Linked DNA regions of Macaca mulatta. The main gene of each other region encodes a partner of the protein of the gene in region 2 in a complex. Links are inferred from orthologs where the notes say so. Each region holds a gene or a part of one and is shown on either strand. Other genes may lie near its edges.

Region 1 (6,336 bases), on a different chromosome or scaffold from region 2:
AGAACGTGGACATTGCTATTCAAAAAAATTCTCCAGAAAATTCCAATGCAAATCCAAGATCAGGAACCAGTGATAAAAATCTGAATATGGGGCCAGGTACAGTGGCTCACGCCTGTAATCCCAGACTTCGGGAGGCTGAGGTGGGAGGATCACTTGAGCCCCAGAGACCAGCCTGGGCAACATAGCGAGACCCCATCTCTAAAAAAAAAAAAAATACAAAAATTAGCTGGGCGTAGTGGTGTGCACTTGCAGTCCCAGCTCCTCAGGGTACTGAGGCAGGAGGATGGCTTGAGCCCAGAGGTTAAGGCTGCAGTGAGCTATGATTGTGCCACTGCACTCCAGCCATAGGAGGCATTCCTCCAGGTGACGGGGTGAGGCTCTGTTTCTAAAAAAATAAAAATTTAAACTAAACAAAAAATCTGAACTTGGTCTCTGTGTGAAAAGTCCGAGCTAAGCTCTAAGTGGAGATTAACTGCCTGATCCTGCCCCCACTCTCCCCACTCAGGGACGATTATGGGACATGGTTAATAGGCTTAAAGCTTAAAAAGGGAAATTAATTACTGTTCTTACTGCTCCAACTTCACCTCTCCCCTGAGACTTCCAGAGCAGAGACTGGAGGTGCCTCAAAGTTTGGTAGATTACCAAAGGGGATTGCTGGGAATGGAAACTGGTGGGCAGAGGAGACTTACACTGCCAAAGTATTTGTCTAAGAGCTCCACGTATCGGTGGATCAGCTCCAGTGTGATGAGCTCATTGTCTTGGCCCTCGATGGCGCAGCAGAAGTAGAGGCTGGCATATCTGCGGAGAGGAATGCATGAGACATGCTACAAGCTTGCTTCAGGACCCAGGCATTCTGGGCTCAAACCTCCCACCAGCCTGGGGGTGGTCTGTGCCCTGGCTGGCCACAGGTGGGGTGGCCCCAGGGCATGTAAAGAGTAACTCATTTGCCTCTTTGTGCTGTCTTTAAAACACTCAAAGAATGCACACTTTTTCCTTCCTGCCCTCTGACCTCCTAAGTCTGACTCAGCAAAAACCTGAGCCAAGTAATTTACCTGCTCCGAAGAGAAGGAACTGGAAAGGGTGTGTGCGCGTGTGTGTTAGGAAAAGTAGGGCAGGACCGACTGCAAGGGACATGTGCGGTGGGGCAAGATAGGGCCCAAAGGGAAACGTGAGTGAGGCAGGTGTTGCGCGTGAGCAAAACCAAGTGGTAAACAAGAACTTATTTAAGAGTTTGGGGGGGAAAAAAAAGGAAGCTGACATTCATCACTGTCCTCCAGAGGTCCTCAGCTCCCAGGTCTCCCTGACCTAAAGGATGACCATTTCTCAGCCATTTTAACCCACTGCCCAACTCGAATCTAGGCAGGTCTGAAAGTAGGTGGGGAGTCACCTCTTATAGACAACTTTGAGGTCCCTCCACTCCAGGAAGCTGCACATCTTGGGCTTGCGAGCCAGGACAACCTGCATAAGCTCCCGCACCATCTTCTTCCGTTCCTTGTCCGAAGTGGCCAGGTACCATTTTTGCAGCCGCAGTTTTCCCTGCCGGCTGAATAGCAGCATGAATCGCATCTGCGGGGGATGGGAGGGCAGAACCAAGGGTAAACACATATTCCCCAAACTCATCCCGGCTAATTCTTCTCTACTTTCTTCCAACATCCAGCCCCTTGCTCTCAATGCTGGGTATTTCCACCAGCAGGGGGAAGTCAGAGCTTCTGAGTCCATCATTTGGGTTCAAATCCTGGCTCTACTAGTTATGCAGGGCCTTGGGCCAATTACTACTGTAAGTCTCTGGGCCTCAGTTTCCTTATCTGTAAAATGGACATCGTACCTGCCTTGCACAGTTGTTGAGACTAAATGAGTTAATATATGCAAGTCCCTAGCACAGGCAGGCAGTATAACATGTTAGCTATTATTATTTTTTTTGAGACAAAGTCTCTCTCTGTCGTCTCTCTCTGTCACCCAGGCTGGAGTGCAGTGGTGCGATCACTGCTCAGTGCAATCTCCGCCTTCTGAGTTCCAGTGATTCTCCTGCCTCAGCCTCCTGAGTAGCTGGGATTACAGTCATGTGCCACCACACCCAGCTAATTTTTGTATTTTTAGTAGAGACGGGGTTTCACCACGTTGGCCAGGCCCTGGTCTCGAACTCCCGACCTCAGGTGATCCGTCCACCTCGGCCTCCCAAAGTGCTGGCATTACAGGTGTGAGCCACTGCACCCGGTTGTTAGTTACTATTATTATTACCATGATTCCCTGACCTCTTGCTTACTGGTTCTGCTTTCTAAAGGTAAGTAAAATGCCTAGCAGAGCGACAAGAAACCAGTAACCAATGCCAAAGAAATGCCTGTTCTCTTCCACCCTCTCTCTATCCACCACCGTGCTGAAATCTGGTATTTTGTCCCTGGAGAAGCTACCTCAATTTTCCACCCCATCATAACCATAAGATCTTAATGATATCCCAAACACACCACCCTCCAGTGCCAGGGGTATCCTCCTCTGCAGTATGTATTTCCAACACCACACAGGGTATGGAGATGCCCAAATCCCACCTTCCTCTCTGCGGGTACCCAGATGTCTTTGACATTTCTCTTTAACTTTTCTCCCTTTTAGGGTGCCTCCTGCTAAGCGCCCACTCCTCCCCAGACACCAGGTGACCAATCTCCCTCAGGGCCCCGCCACCCAGGGGGTTCCCCTGAAGAATGTCTGCAGAACAGACAGCAAGCTGGGTCAAGTGGGATGGAAGACAGAACCCTCACTGCCCAGTGCACCCCAGCTTCCCAGTTCCAGGGGGTCTGGGCCACATCCTGGAGTCTTCTCCTTCCCCCAGCAGCTCTCCTATTCATGGACATGCCCAGGGTTGGAATCCCTGGGTGTGTGGCACTGTATAGCTTAGTAGGTGAAAAATCAGAATTCAGGAGAACTGATTTTTTTGGTGGAGGGGAAAAGAGGGGCGCCGGGGAGCCTCGTGCGGCGCTCAGATAGGGGGGTGGGGAGCGAGCAGGAAGACGGAAGGCCTGGGTTCCGGAAACAGAGTGGGATTGGGGGCAGAGAGCCCTGGAGCCCGGGATCCCAAAGCCTGGGTCCCTCGGAGCAAAACCACGAGTCCACCTCTCTTCCTTACCTGGGCCCAGCCTCTAGGCAAGCACCGCCACGAACCCAATAGGGCGCTCTCTTTTCCGACCCGGAAACTCCCCTCCCACACCCCTTTCCCCACCGGGGTCCCCGCTCCCGCCCGTGCCGCCCGGGAAGGGGTTCTCGGTGACCCCCCACTCCCTCCCTCTGCAAAGAGACCCCCACAACCCTCTGCTTTAGGCTGCTTCCCTGCGGCGGGGATCGAGGGACCCCCGGGAGCCAAGACCCAAGCGCCCCTCCCGGCTCGGGACTGCCCCGCCGCCCCTTCGTCAGCCCACGCTCGCCCTGCAAATGCACCCCCTCCCCGCCCCTCTCCCGAATGCCACCTCCCACTCTTCCTCCCGAGCCCGGCTCGCCCACCAGCTGAGGCAAGGGAGGCCTCTGAGGACCAGAGGGAAGACAGAGAGGCTCACCCCGAGGGCGGCCCCCGAGGACCCCCGCAGGTGCAGCCCACGCCCCTCGCTTCCCCCTCCCCTCCCTCTTCGCACAGCCTACCATCCTGCAGCCTCCGGCTCGGCGCGTCCCACTTCGGCCACCGTAGGCGCCAGTCCCACTCCCTTTCTTATCCTTTCTCCGGCTTCCCTCCCTCTCGGCCGAAGCCCCGCCCCGTCCCGCCCAGGTTCTGACTCCCGACACGCCACACACTGCGCAGGCGCCGACGCCGCGGGGAGCGCGGGCGGGGCTGGAGGCGGAGAAGCGGAAACCATGGCAACCAGGTCCTTGACTGCAGCTTCTAGGAGCCCGGTCGTCATGGTAACGCGGCTGTCCTGTGGGCTGGTTGGAGGATGGGGGAGGAGGACAATGAGATCCTCGCGCTTTGAAGCCTTGTGGGGCAAAAAGGCGGGAAAAGGGGTGAGAGGTGAATGGGACGATCATTGGAGTTCGAGGCAGCAGGCAGGACCCCTGGAAGGGGCGTGAGCTGTGAAGAGGGAGCAGGGTGGGAATTGAGTGTAGGGGAGGAGGAAGGACCTGAAAAACAGGAGACAAACGGTCATGAAAAAAGTATAGAACTCAAGCTAAATATCTATTGAGAGCGTGATAGATACACCCCTCTATTTTTTTTCTTTTTAGAGACAGGGTCTGGTCGCGTCACCCAGGCTGGAGTGCAGTGGTGAGATCGTGATTCTCTGCGGCCTTGAACTCCTGGCCTCAAGCGAGCCTCCCGCCTCAGCCTCCTGAGTAGCTGGGACTACAGACGCACACCATCATGCCCAGCTAATTTTTAAATTTTTTTTTTGTAGAGACAGGGGTCTTACTATGTTGCCCAAGCTGGTCTCGAACTCCTGGGTTCAAGAGACCCTCCCGCCTTGGTTTCTCAAAGTGCTGGGATTACAGGTGTGAGCCACCGCGCCTGACTTCTGATCTTAAAGTAAGAGAAATGTGTAGAAAATGAATAAAAGAGAAAAGGAGAGGCTGCTATAAAAGGCATGTAAGGAGAAGGAGGAGGAAAGTGAATTGAGGCAAAAGGGGAAGAAATAAAGAGCGTCTTAAAAGGTTAACTTGGGTCAAAACTCAAAAAGGGACAGATGTAACCCAAATCTCAGTGTGAAGATGAGGTGGATGTACATTGTAATATGGGCTTTTAAACTGAATGTGTGTGTGTGTCTACGTGTTACTGGAAAAAGGGGTCCTGATCCAGACCCCAAGAGAGGATTCTTGTATCTCATGCAGAAGAAATTCAAAGCAAGCCGCAGAGTGCTATGAGAAGAGAGAGTTTATTGAAAGCTGTCCCCTTACGGAGTAGGGCGTCCTCAGAAAGCAAACAGAGGAACACACTGTCTTAATTTTTCCTTTTCTTTCTTTTTTCTTTTTTCTTTTTTTGAGACAGGGTCTTACTCTGTTGCCCAGTCTGGAGTGTAGTAGCATGATTATAGTTCACTACAGCTTCCACCTCCTGGGCTCCAGCGATCCTCCCACCTCAGTCTCCCAAGTAGCTGGGACTACAGGCGTGCCCCCCCAACACCCAGCTAATTTTTGTATGTTTTGTAGAGACAGGGTTTTGTCATGCTACCCAAGCTGGTCTGGAACTCCTGGGCTCAGGCTATCCAACCTCCTCGGCTTCCCAAAGTGTTGGAATTATGGGCATGAGCCACCGCCCCTGACCTTTAAGTTTTTCTTTTTTTTGAAACAGAGTCTTGCTCTGTCGCCCAGGCTGGAGTGCAGTGGCGCGATCTCAGCTCACTGCAAGCTCCGCCTCCCGGGTTTAGCCATTCTCCTGCCTCAGCCTCCTGAGTAGCTGGGACTACAGGTGCCCGCCACCACACCTGGCTAATTTCTTTGTATTTTTAGTAGAGACGGGGTTTCACCCTGTTAGCCAGGATGGTCTCAGTCTCCTGACCTCGTGATCCGCCCACCTCGGCCTCCCAAAGTACTGGGATTATAGGCGTGAGCCACCGCGGCCCGCCAAGTTTTTCTTATATAGGGGTCTTGTTTTTGTACAGACTAAACTAAGCTGAGTCAATGTGCAGATGGGCCAATGGCATGACAAAATTTATTATTCTGTTGATTTAACTATCCTTGACATTCTAGTAGGTAAGTACATCAAAGCAAAACTATAATTATCTTTCTTCCTTTTTTTTTTTTTTTTTTGAGACAGAGTCTTGATCTGTCGCGCAGGCTGGAGTGCAGTGGTGTGATCTCAGCTCGCTGCAACCTCCACCTCCTGGGTTCAAGCCATTCTTGTGTCTCAGCCTCCCTAGTAGCTGGATTACAGTTACATCCTTCCATTTCAGCCTCCCAAGTAGCTGTGACTGCAGGCATGAACCAGTGCATCCAGTTAATTACAAAAATATTTTGTTGTAGAGATGGGGTCTCACTACTGGGATTATAGGCATGTGCTACCATGTCCAGCTAATTTTTGTATTTTTAGTAGAGAGGGGGTTTTGCTATGTTGGCCAGGCTGGTCTCGAACTCCTGGCCTCAAGCAATCCTCCTGCCTTAGCCTCCATCCCCAGCCAGAACTATAATTATCTTAAAAGCATATATTGTTATGGGTATTGGGACATCTGGATTTTCTGTAGTTGGAGGAGTCTGTCCTTGCAGGTATCTTTAAACTGTTTACCCAACTGTAAACAGGTATGGGTTGTGACTGACAAGGAATGTGCCTTGTTAGTTTCAAGATGGAGCTGAACTTAAAATGGTTTTAGACTGGCTCTCTGAGGCCCCTGCTTCCCTAGCACAAGTGATAAAGCAAAGAGGTCTGGATAGAAG
Region 2 (5,574 bases):
TCGGGCATGCCCGAGCTGCGCTTGGGCCTCAATGACAAGGTCCTCTTCGACAACACGGGCCGTGAGTACCTGTGCCAAGGGCCCTGCCCATGAGGACGGCTTCACCGGGCACGCACATTACAGCCCAGGGCAGGGTTGGGCCAGGCGGAGGAACAAGCTAGTTTCAAGCACTTGGTTTAGCAGCATTTCACCCTGCTTGAGACAGCTGTGTAGAGTATTCATCCATCCCGGGACATAGAAGGCGCAGGGGAGTGAAATCCTCCAGTCCAGCTGGGAGGCCCCCATCACCTGGCCTCACATGCCAGGTCTTGCACCCTGCCCTGCACTGCCCAGGCCGCTGGAGCTCAGGCTGAGGCCTTGCTCGCTCCCTCCCAGGCCAGGTTCTCCCTTCACCTTGGGCCCTAGGTGTGGGCTGTGTGAAGGCCACACACGGTGATTCTCGCTCCTGCCGCTGGTCTGTAACACTTCCCACGGCAGGGGTCAGAGGGGCTCAGAGGGGCTCAGGGCCTGGGTTTGCAAACTGTGCCTCCCGCCTCTCAGCTGTCACAGGCCACTGGAAGAGGGTGCAGTGGCTAGGCATGCCCCCGTTCCTGGCCCAGTGAGGGCTTCTTGGGCATCAGCCCATGAGGGCAGCTCCCCGCCTGGGGCTGGGCAAGGCCCCACCCACATAGCCCTCAGTGAGGTGGGAAACCGAGGAAGACCCAGGACCCCGTGGATGCCGGGGCCTGAGCCCTTGGGGAGCCCCGAGCCATCCCCCAGCCGAGTCCATCGATCAATCATTCAGTGAACGTGTCCTGAGCAGGTCCTCTGGCTGGGCCCTGGGGTGGTCGCTGGAGACTCAGCATGAACCAGACCCACCAGCCCTGCCCCCCGGGACCCCAGGAGTATGAGGAGTGACGGGGCAGTTGTCTTGGGACCCAGCCCCCTTGGTGTTTGTGGCCCAGGCTGCTGTTACTGCGTGGACTGGGGGCCCTGCTCTGCTGGGGTGGGTCCCAGGGGGTAGGAGTACTGCTGAGAGAGTGACCCGGAGGGCCCAGGTCTGTTCTACCCTCACCCCTGACCCCAGGCGGCAAAAGCAAATCCGTGGAGCTGGAGGATGTGAAGTTCCACCAGTGTGTGCGGCTATCACGCTTCGAGAACGACCGCACCATCTCCTTCATCCCGCCCGACGGCGAGTTCGAGCTCATGTCCTACCGCCTCAACACCCACGTGAGTGCGCCGCCCCGGGGCTGGGCTGTTGGTGGCCGCCTCCTCCCCTTCACCTCCAGGAGGTGAAGCCCAGGCAGGCGCCGGGGCTGGCCCCACCCCATGCTCCATGAGCTGCCTGGCTCCGCAGAGATGGAGTCTGAGGACCTGGGACTCCGAGCTTTCTGAGGGGCACAGACCCCTTTGGCCACCACACCTCTTTCCTAGGCAGCCCCCTAGAGCAGGCCCTGCGCATGTTTTCTGCATTTGCACCGAGGCCTCCCTAGTAGCTCCCTGCTGCCTCGGCCTGTCTGCCCTGACCCTCCCTGACGCTGGCCATGCACTCCCCACAGGGCCCTGGGCCAACAGCTGGGCAGATGGCCCCTTGCCCTGGGCCTTGGTTTCCTCTCTGAAATGGGCCTTTGTCAAACACGGCCACGTGTGAGCACCCTCTCTGCCCTCCTCGGCAGGTCAAGCCTTTGATATGGATCGAGTCGGTGATTGAGAAGCACTCCCACAGCCGCATCGAGTACATGATCAAGGTGCGGGGGCCCGAGGCCACCCACTGAGGGCCTTCTGGTGTCTCTGGCCCGTCCTGGGGGCCTGACCGAGGGCTGGGGGTGCCGTAGGGCTGCCATCCATGCACCCTCGCTGTGGCCTCAGATGCAGGCGTGGCCTGACACTGAGGAGACAACGCCTGGGGCCTGCTCCTAGATGGTGCCACTTGTGGGGAGGGGCCTGTAACTAGGCATCCAGGACACTCCCAGAGGTATTGCCCCCAGTGGAGCACCTCTGCCCCTCAGTGACCCTGTCCAGCGCAGCCTGACCCTGGGACACAGACATTGTCCTAGGAGGGCAGGGCAGAGGGAGGGATGGGGAGCCTTGGAAGCTGAGCAGACAGGAGGACAAAGATGAAACGCCTGAAATTAGGCCTTGGGAGAGTCTCAAGGGTAGGAGTAGTGCCTGGAGAAGTGGGGCTAGGGAGGATTCCCCAGGCCAGGCTGAGGGACATGTGGCCTGGAGGGGCTGGGCTAGCTCACTTTGGCCTCCATAACCCTGGGCCACATCGGCCTGGCCTGCAGGCCAAAAGCCAGTTCAAGCGGCGGTCAACAGCCAACAACGTGGAGATCCACATTCCCGTGCCCAATGATGCCGACTCACCCAAGTTCAAGACGACGGTGGGGAGCGTCAAGTGGGTCCCCGAGAACAGCGAGATCGTGTGGTCCATCAAGTCCTTCCCGGTGAGCACTCCATCCAGACATCCACATGCCCCCTGCAAGGCAGCCTGGGTGCCGCAGGACCCCTGCACCTCGAGATGGGGTGACCGTCGCCACCGTGTCCCCCACACCTGGGACTTCTGAAAGGGTGGACGGAGAGCCAAGGACTGGAGGGAAAGCGGGAGGAGTCAAAGGCTGACTTGGCCCCTGGGCCCCTTTCTGCTTTCCTCTTGTTTGTGAACCAGCCTCTGTCTTCAACCTCAGGGCAGTGCCCTCTCCCTCTCTGTGCTGCCCCCGAGTACTGATGTGAGATGGGGCTCCTGTCCATGCAGGCCCTGGAGGAGCCCCGTCCACTCCGGCAGGTGCAGGCCCTTTCCGTGCAGGCTCAGCCTTGCCTGCCATCAAGGGGCATGGCTGCCTGTAGGCCAGAGCAGCACAGCCTCCCGAGCCCTGCACCAGCCGCCCATGTCCTGGGCCAGCTCTGCACTGGCATGACTTCCCCGGCACCGTGTTAAGGATTCTGAGGGCTTGAGTCTGGGCTTGCTGGGTGTACGCAGTGCACAGAGAGGCTAGGCCCGGGCGTGGCTCTGGAGCCAAGCTGGTTGGCACTGACCTGCTCCGCCAGGCGGGCTCAGGGCAGGCGCTACTTTCCATGTTCTCCCGTCTCTCCGGCTGCAGCCCCAGCTGAGTTAAGCTGGAAATGCTGCAATTCAAGCGCCTTGAATTTCATGATGGCACTTTCCCTCCCGGCCTCAATCTAATCACATGACATAAAATGCAGACAGTAGAGGAAGGAGAGAGAAAAGCCCATTACCCCACCACCTAATACTCCCGGCAGCCTTTCTGCGCGTCTCCTTCTCACCTTTCTTTCTGCGTATTTTGGTCTTCCTCATTATACGTAAGTAGAGCCAACTCGGCGCCTGCCCTTCCACGCGGCGCTGCGGCCGAGCGTTTTCCTTCTGGTGTTCACTGTCTTCTTGGCGGTCGGCTTTGGGAGCTGTGGAATATTCCATGGAGGGGTGGTGACCATCCCTGATTGCTGGATTATCTCTTCTTTTCCTGCAATTCCACTGTTGAAAATAGTGTTTGTCATTTAAAACACAATGGGAGAATACCTCATCAAATAAACAGCATGGTGAGCTGTAGACGGAGGAGGAAGGGACAGGGCTAAAGGCCGAGGCACAGGCCAGCGTGGACCGTGCTTGTGTAGATTTGACTTCGAAGCCATGCACGGGCACACCTCATTTTATTGTGTTTCCCAGATACTGCATTTTTATTTTTGTTTCAGTTTTTAAACAAATGGAAGGTATGTGGCAACCCTATGTTGAGCAAGTCTGTTGGCGCCATTATCCCAACAGCACGTGCTCACTTCGCGTCTCTGTGTTGTCACTCTTTAGCAATAAAGTATGTTTTAACTAAGGTATGTACATTCTCTTAGACATAATACTGTTGCACATTATTCAGACTACATTATACAGTAAGCTTTTTTGTTTTTTGAAGACAGTCTTGCTCTGTCACCCAGGCTGGAGTGCAGTGGCACAATCTCGGCTCACTGCAGCCTCCACTTCCCAGGTTCAAGCGATTCTTCTGCCTCAGCCTCCCGAGCAGCTGGGATTACAGGCATGCACCACCATGCCTGGCTAATTTTTTTTTTTTTTTTTTTTTTTTTGAGACGGAGTCTCTCTGTTGTCCAGGCTGGAGTGCAGTGGCGTGATCTCCACTCACTGCAAGCTCTGCCTCCCGGGTTCACGCCATTCTCCTGCCTCAGCCTCCCGTGTAGCTGGGACTACAGGCGTCTGCCACCACGCCCGGCTAATTTTTGTATTTTTAGTAGAGGCGGGGTTTTACCATGTTAACCAGGATGGTCTTGATCTCCTGACCTTGTGATCCGCCTGTCTCGGCCTCCCAAAGTGCTGGGATTACAGGCGTGAGCCACTGCGCCCGGCCGCCTGGCTAATTTTTGTATTTTTAGTAGACATGGGGTTTCACCATATTGGCCAGGCTGATCACGAACTCCTGACCTTGTGATCCACCTGCCTCAACCTCCCAAAGTGCTGGGATTGCAGGCGTGAGCCCCCGAGCCCGGCCAGTAAACATAACTTTTATATGCACTGGGAAACCAAAAAATGTGTGTGACTTGCCTAACTGTGCTATGTGCTTTATGGCAGTGTCCAAACTGCAATATCTCAAGGTATACCTGTCAGTGCTTTCCAAGCATATAAAACAAAATTAAATCAAAATGGAAAAAAAGGTAATTCCTAAAAATGAAAAGCAAAATTAATTCATCAGCATATCAAGTTGATGACAGCTACAGATACACATTACTTCAAGTAACACACCCTAAAGACAAAAGGAAGTGCAGGAAATAAATTTTAAGAAATACAAAGAGACGGCCGGGCGCGGTGGCTCACGCCTGTAATCCCTGCACTTTGGGAGGCCGAGGCAGGCGGATCACGAGGTCAGTAGATCGAGACCATCCTGGCTAACACGGTGAAACCCCGTCTCTACTAAAATACAAAAAATTAGCCGGGCGCGGTGGCGGGCGCCTGTAGTCCCAGCTACTCAGGAGGCTGAGGCAGGAGAATGGCGCGAACCCGGGAGGCGGAGCTTGCAGTGAGCCGAGATGGTGCCACTGCACTCCAGCCTGGGTGACAGAGTGAAGACTCCGCCTCAAAAAAAAAAAAAAAATACAGAGAGGTAGATGATTGATAGATTAGATAAATAGGTACCCTTCCCTCTTTCTTAGATTGCTGCATACTAAAAGGTTTTTTTTTGTTTGTTTTTTCTTTTTCTGAGAAGAAGTCTCGCTCTGTTGCCCAAGCTGGAGTGCAGAGGCACGATCTCGGCTTACTGCAACCTCCACCTCCCAGGTTCAAGCGATTCTCCTGCCTCAGCCTCCCAAGTATACAGGCACACGCCACCACACCCGGCTAATGTGTGTATTTTTAGTAGAAGCAGGGTTTCACTGCGTTGCTCAGGCTGGTCTCAAACTCCTGACCTCAGGTGATCTGCCTGCTTTGGCCTCCCAAAGTGCAGGGATGACAGGCGTGAGCCACCACGCCCGGCCTATTGTGAATAATGCCGCTGTGAACGTGGGTGCACACACATCTCTTCAAGACCCATTTTCATTTGTTTTGGGTGTATCCCCAGAAGTGGAATTGCTGGATCATGA
Region 3 (6,294 bases), on a different chromosome or scaffold from region 2:
CCAGGGTTGCACCGTACAGTAGCAGCGTGGCAGAGGATCTGAATTCCGTAAACATTCTGTTCTTTAAACCACTCGTTGGTGGCTGACTCCACCCTGAGAGTGTAGGTGTGTGTGTAGGTGGGTGGGTAGGTAGGGGTGGTGGAAGTTGGTGGTACCCTATGCTAATTTATAAAATGGCACTCTGACCTGGCGCGGTGGCTCATGCCTGCAATCCCAGCACTTTGGGAGGCCGAGGTGGGCGAATCACCCGAGGTCAGGAGTTCGAGACCAGCCTGGCTAACATGGTGAAACCTCATTTCTACTAAAAATACAAAAAATTATCTGGGCATGGTGGCGCATACCTGTGTAGTCCCAGCTACTTGGAAGGCTGAGGCAGGACAATCGCTTGAACCCAGGAGGCGGAGGCTACAGTGAGCCGAGATCACATCATTACACTCCAGCTTGGGCAACAAGAGGAAACTCTGTCTCAAAAAAAAAAAAAAAAAAAAAAAAAAAAAGGCCGGGCACGGTGCCTCACGCCTGTAATCCCAGCACTTTGGGAGGCCGAGGTGGGTGGATCATGAGGTCAGGAGATCGAGACCACCTTGGCTAACACGGTGAAACCCCATCTCTACTAAAAATACAAAAAATAGTCGGGCACGGTAGCGGGGACCTGTAGTCCCAGCTATTCGGGAGGCTCAGGCAGGAAAATGGCGGGAACCCGGGAGGCGGAGCTTGTAGCGAGCCAAGATCCGGCCACTGCACTCCAGCCTGGGCGACAGAGTGAGACTCCGCCTCAAAAAAAAAAAAAAAAAAAAAAAAAAAGGCACTCTTTAACAGAACCCCAGTGGAAGAGGGGAGAGGATGTGTCTTTTAGCCAAGTCAGTTTCTTGGAGCCTGTTTCTCCTTATTTGTAAAGCTAAGTTACTTATGTTTGACTAGCCTGACTCAGGAGGTTGTCCAGAGGATCAGATTAGATTACACACATGAAAGTGCCTCATGAACAATGTGATATCAATATTTAATAATAAAAATGATAATTATTATCGCACCCATGGCCTCATTTCTTTCCAGCCACTTGGCATGCCCCCGTAGTTCAGGGACAAAATTGTACAGATGGGCCTGCTTGGTTCAACTTTTTTCGTGTGTTTTTGAGACAGGGTCTCACTCTGTCGCCCAGGCTTGGCTAACTGCAACCCCTGCCTCCGGGGTTCAAGCGACTCTCCTGCCTCAGCCTTCCAAGTAGCTGGGTTTACAAGTGCCCACCACCATGCCTGGCTAATTTTGTATTTTTAGTAGAGATGGAGTTTCACCATGTTGGCCAGGCTGGTCTCGACCTTCCGACCTTGGGAGATCCGCCCGCCTCAGCCTCCCAAAGTGCTGGGATTACAGGCGCGAGCCATTGCGCCGGCCTACTTAGAGCAATTTTTGTAAAGTATTTTGAATCCGTGCATGAAAATGACTAAGGAAAAAGGTGCAACCTTCTCTCTATGACACCCAGGTCCTAAACTCAAGATTTGTGGTTAGTTCTGGGCAGGCTGGTGGCTCACACCTGTCATCTCCACACTTTGGGAGCCCGAGGCAGGCGGATCACCTGAGGTCAGGAGTTCAAGACCAGCCTGGCCAACATAGCGAAACGCTCTCTGTATTAAAAATGCAAATATTAGCCGGCTGCGGTGGTGGGAGCCTGTAATCCCAGCTACTTGGGAGGCTGAAGCACGAGAAATTGCTTGACCCCGGGAGGCAAAGGTTGCAGTGAGCCGGGATGCCGCACCTGCACTCCAGCCTGGGCAACAGAGCGAGACTGTCTAAAAAAAAAAAAAAAAAAAAAAAAAAAAAAAAAAAAAATTGTGCAGTTGGTTCTGTTCTGTTTGGCACCCAGCCTGGTGCTGTGTTGTATTGTACTTTGTTGCCAATCTAGCGGAAGGATTTTGGTCTAGGTAGGTCACCTTTACTTTAAACAGGCCAAGGTATCAGGCCCCCTTTACGTTCACACGGAAAAGACTCGCGTCATATGTTAGTAATTATTTATCAGGTTAGGAACTGTCTGGTTAGACTTTCTTTGGCCCTGGTCATTAATTCATGGAGTCATAGACCGAAAGCCCATTCCGTAAGGGTTTCAGCTAACATGAGTCCAAGTCTTCTTTCTACATACGAGGAAACGGAATCCCTGGAGTTTAAGTGACTTGAGCTGTGCATGAACCGCGGTACTGGGCGTGGAATCCATTCTTGTGAGTCATCCTCTTAACTCTTCGTAAAATATGTTGCAAAGACACCATAAAACCATAGAATACCACCTGGAGCATGCTCCTTCAGTTAAAAAGAAAGCAAAAATCTTACAGGAGACAGCAAAGAGTTTGGGATGCCCGTGGATGAACACCATTTCATCTCTGCTATCTTCTCCGCCCCCACCTGCCTCGCCTGCTCCCACTTCCTGGACTACCTGACCTAGCTCCGCCTCCTCCAGGTGGCCCCACCGCTTCCTGGTAGCCCAGCCCCTCCCCCGCCTCCCGCCAAGCGGAACCAATGTCTGTCCGCTCTGGGGTCGGCCGGATCTTTCTCGCTCAGACTCTTCGCAGCGGTGACTCGGCAGCAGCGTCTCGCGTCATCAGTGACAGCCCTGACCCTTGCTACGCTTTGCGTCGCTCTGCCAGAAGCAGTCGCCTCCTCCTTGGCAAATAGTCCTCGGCAGGGTCCGAGTTCTTGGTTAATCCGAGAGGAGAGGCACGAGAAGTTGCAGTGCAGGGACACGGAAGCGACTAGACGAGGAGGCCAGGGATCGAAGTTTCCTCAATAGTGTGTGAAGTTAGTTAAAAACTCTCTTCTTCCTTAGGATCCCTCCGCCTGCAGTAGCAGTGGTGAGGCCGAGGGAGCCGCCATTTTGGATGTTCGGTTCCTGCTGCCACTGCTGCCGCCGCCCCCGGAGCTGCTGGTTTCATTCGAGGTTTCGGGCCGGTGAGTGTCACTGGCGGCACTTAGAGCATATTGCTGCTTTTGCCCCGCCGCTGGCGCGGGCGCTCGACCGGAAGCTTCCTTTCAGTTTCAGGGGTCCGGTCCCAGGCTGTGGGTGTTGAGAAGAGAGGACAGAGAGGCTGGGCCAGGAGGGGCCGGGAGCCCCAGGGGCTGCTCCGACTTCTGGAGGGCCGACCCCGAGGCCTCGGACCGGGAGGTTCCGCGCGCAGCGGTGTTCCGGGTAGTGGCGTTGCCCCGCGGGTACGGGCCTCCTTGAACCTTTGACTTTCTCAGGCTGCGATCTTTGAGGGCTCATTCAGGGAGCCTGGGGTTTAGCGCGGCTGGCCCCACCCCCGCGTGTCTTCTCTGAGCCACGTACCAGCGTTCTTGTGTCTTGTACCCGTGTCAGGTCTCTCAGATAACTCTCAGCATTTCCAAATGCCCAGTTAATCGCTGCCTGCCCCTGCAGTGCCGTCCTGTCGGAACCAGACATCGGCCTCGCCTCTCTCTAACCTTCCAACCAACTTCTTTCCCAATTTTCCGCGCGCGCGTGTGTGTGTGTGTGTTTGTTGTTGTTTTGTTTTTTTCAGCCTACCTGCGAGTGTACTGTTTACCCTTTTCTCAGCTCCTGGGCCTGCGGACGTCAGCGTCTAATAATTCTCCCGGGCTTCCTGATTGCCTGAAAGAGTCGGGACGATTCAGTTGATTGTTTCCCGGTTAGGAGACTTGGTGTAGGAGATCCATCGAAACACTCGCTCAGAGTGTGCTTCAGCAGTAATGTTTATGAGGCAGATTAAATGGCTTTTGGGAGGCGGGAGCTGTCAAATGTTTTCTCATTTGTGGATTCCCTTCCTGTGCTGAACACTTAGCTTTTTGGTACTCACTGACACTTGTGTGGTGTTTTTTTTTTTTTTTATCCTCCCCTATTACATATCCCTGAGCATGGAAATCTGTCCATGGAGAAAAATATTAATCTGAGGTAGGTAGAAAGGAGAGTTGGGCTGCTTTATTCGTTAACCGAGGAGAGGAGTTAGTGCTTTCTTAGTGACCTTAACTTTGAGGTGTTTGTACAGTAATGATCTTTGCTGACTGATTGTAAAAAATACTTGTAATGACTTCATGTATTGGGTTTTTCTGGGGATAGTTGAATTTTAAATATTCACTTCCACCCTTCCCTAGAATACTTGTCAAATACCTAAGTTGTCATACAGCCTAACTTTCAAGTTTGAAAAATATGAACCCTCTAAGTACTAGTAATCTAGTCACTTTTATTCTAAAAGCATGTTTGCAGTCTAGCATGCTTGAATGAAAAGTATTTCTTTGTTTTAATTTTTATTATTATTATTATTTTTTGAGACGGAGTCTGGCTCTGTCTCCAGGCTGGAGTGCAGTGGCACGGTCTCGGCTCACTGCAACCTTCGACTCACTGCAACCTACGCCTCCTGGATTCAAGCAATTCTCCTGCCTCAACCTCCCAAGTAGCTGGGACTACAGGTGCACGCTGCCACGCCCGGCTAATTTTTTTTTGTTGTTGTATTTTAGTAGAGATGGGTTTCACCATGTTGCCCAGGCTGATCTCGAACTCCTGAGCTCAGGCAATCCGCCCACCTTGGCTTCCCAAAGTGCTAGGATTACAGGCGTGAGCCACGGTGCCTGGCGAATAAAAAGTATTTCACAGTAATTCACTGATACATTTCCTACGTTTCAAGTTAGGCGAGTGTGATTGAATCACCCTTATTTCATCTCAGCCTGGGTTTTTACATCTGCAAAAGAGAAGTTAACTTATTTGAGATCACAGTCTAGTGGATGAAATTTAAATTTATAACTTGAACTGAGTCAAGCTTTTTAATACTGCTAAGCCACATATATAGATGCATTATTCTTATCAGGTTATTGAAATGAGATTGTAGATAAATTCCTGTATAGGTCATATGATGTCTCAGGAGAAAACAGTATTTTCAGTGTAAATACTCAGTGATCTTGTTGCTTGTTTTAAGGAGATTTTTCAAAAACATGTTAGTTACTATTAGATATGTGAGTTCTGTATCACCCTGAAGCTATGTAATTTTCTCTTTTGGTTTAAAGGAACTGTCAAACACTGAACACCTATGTAATGATCGCTCATTTACTAAGTATGCCCTTGCAGTTACTACTGAAATGTGCCATTTCTGACTTAGACTTTTCAAGTAAGGTGTTAGCAGAGCTATCACATAGATGTTAGTTAACTCAGTGTTTTTCATGCTTTAATATGTTGGTATTTAAATGTCATTCAGGCGGGTGCTCTGTGGCTCATGTTTGTAATCCCAACACTTTGGGAAGTGGAAGGTGGATCCCTTGAGCCCAGGAGTTAGAGGCCAGCCTGGGCAACATAGTGAGACTCTGTCTCTACCAAAATATTTTAAAATATTAAACTTTTAAAAATTCATTCTTAGATAGTTTGCATTCACTGGGGGAAGGGTCCTTTTGCCTTAACAAATTCCTAGCAAAGTGTTGTTTAGTGCACCATTGATCAGTGCATATTTGAATATCTGCTTTGTGTTTAGGAAACCTCCGTTTCTTTTGGGAGCAGTTGCTTATTCTTTGGTCTGACCTCTGTCATTGTTAGCAGTTCTAGATTTGAGGGCAGATTTTAGAGTGAAACTATAAAGTACAGAAATTGCCAGGAATGCCTTGGTGATATTTCACCCCAGTGTTTATTTTAAAAAGGAGTTTTAAAAATCAGTGGTATGCAAACCAAAACCAACTTCTTTATGATTTATAAAAACTCTTATTTCTTATTATTTTTATTGTTTGAACAGGGTCTCACTCTGTTGCCCAGGCTGGAGTGCAGTGGTCTCTGCTCACTGCAGCCTGGACCTCCTGGGCTCAAGCAATCCTCCTGCCTCAGCTCTCCACATAGCTGGGACTACAGGCGTGTTCCACCACGCAGGGCTAATTTTTGTATTTTTTGTATTGATAGTATTTTGTCATGTTGCGCAGGCTGGGCTCAAGCAATCCTCTTGCCTTGGCCTCCCAAACAAAGTGCTGGGATTACAGGTGTGAGCCACCTCACCTGGCCAAAACTCTTTAATTTATACAAATTTAAAAAATTGAATGAGTATTTTCCAAGAGATTATTTTTAATTTAAAAAGTTGAATTGGCAACCTACATACCAAAACACATTTTCCACAATGCTTAATCCCCTTATTTGCATTTGACGAGGATTTTAAAATTTTGTGTATATAGCAGGACTTAATTGCTATCAAAACTTTAAAACTCTTACTTAGAGCTTCAGAAAATTAAAAAATACTATTTTAAGTGCTTGTAATTTAGTCTATCCTTGCTTCATGAATTGTTTTCAGTTCTTGTTGTTTTGTTTTGTTT

Evidence for each region.
Region 1: the proteins of AP1M1 (region 2) and AP1S1 are in contact, whole or in part, in a crystal structure (PDB 1W63), measured with the Mus musculus proteins. The link is inferred for Macaca mulatta from reciprocal best matches to the Homo sapiens genes AP1M1 and AP1S1. Residues at the interface, in NP_031482.1 of Mus musculus: Lys12, Glu31, Asn186, Asn188, Val189, Leu190, Glu232, Glu234, Asn270, His272, Arg421; in NP_031483.1 of Mus musculus: Lys26, Lys30, Arg33, Glu34, Gln37, Lys43, Glu51, Trp52, Arg53, Asp54.
Region 3: the proteins of AP1M1 (region 2) and AP1G1 are in contact, whole or in part, in a cryo-EM structure (PDB 7R4H), measured with the Mus musculus proteins. The link is inferred for Macaca mulatta from reciprocal best matches to the Homo sapiens genes AP1M1 and AP1G1. Residues at the interface, in NP_031482.1 of Mus musculus: Ser289, Asn318, Asp319, Ala320, Asp321, Ser322, Trp334, Pro336, Glu337, Asn338, Ser339, Gly361, Leu362, Pro363, Ser364, Val365, Glu366, Ala367, Glu368; in NP_001288140.1 of Mus musculus: Arg24, Glu25, Gln28, Lys29, Ala32, Arg35, Ser36, Arg39, Glu40, His64, Phe65, Gln67, Leu68, Gln97, Val99.

What each region holds. Positions count from the first base shown.
Region 1 is NC_133408.1:48,411,837-48,418,172, reverse strand, and holds the start of AP1S1 (AP-1 complex subunit sigma-1A), read right to left. Parts: upstream 3,664-6,336; 5' UTR 3,625-3,663; coding exon 3,622-3,624; intron 1,567-3,621; coding exon 1,388-1,566; intron 799-1,387; coding exon 690-798; intron 1-689. UniProt on the Homo sapiens protein: Subunit of clathrin-associated adaptor protein complex 1 that plays a role in protein sorting in the late-Golgi/trans-Golgi network (TGN) and/or endosomes.
Region 2 is NC_133424.1:16,702,512-16,708,085, forward strand, and holds part of AP1M1 (AP-1 complex subunit mu-1), read left to right. Parts: coding exon 1-61; intron 62-1,066; coding exon 1,067-1,209; intron 1,210-1,655; coding exon 1,656-1,727; intron 1,728-2,267; coding exon 2,268-2,426; coding exon of another isoform or gene 2,427-2,520; intron 2,521-5,574. UniProt on the Homo sapiens protein: Subunit of clathrin-associated adaptor protein complex 1 that plays a role in protein sorting in the trans-Golgi network (TGN) and endosomes.
Region 3 is NC_133425.1:68,066,267-68,072,560, forward strand, and holds the start of AP1G1 (AP-1 complex subunit gamma-1), read left to right. Parts: upstream 1-2,631; 5' UTR 2,632-2,934; intron 2,935-6,294. UniProt on the Homo sapiens protein: Subunit of clathrin-associated adaptor protein complex 1 that plays a role in protein sorting in the late-Golgi/trans-Golgi network (TGN) and/or endosomes.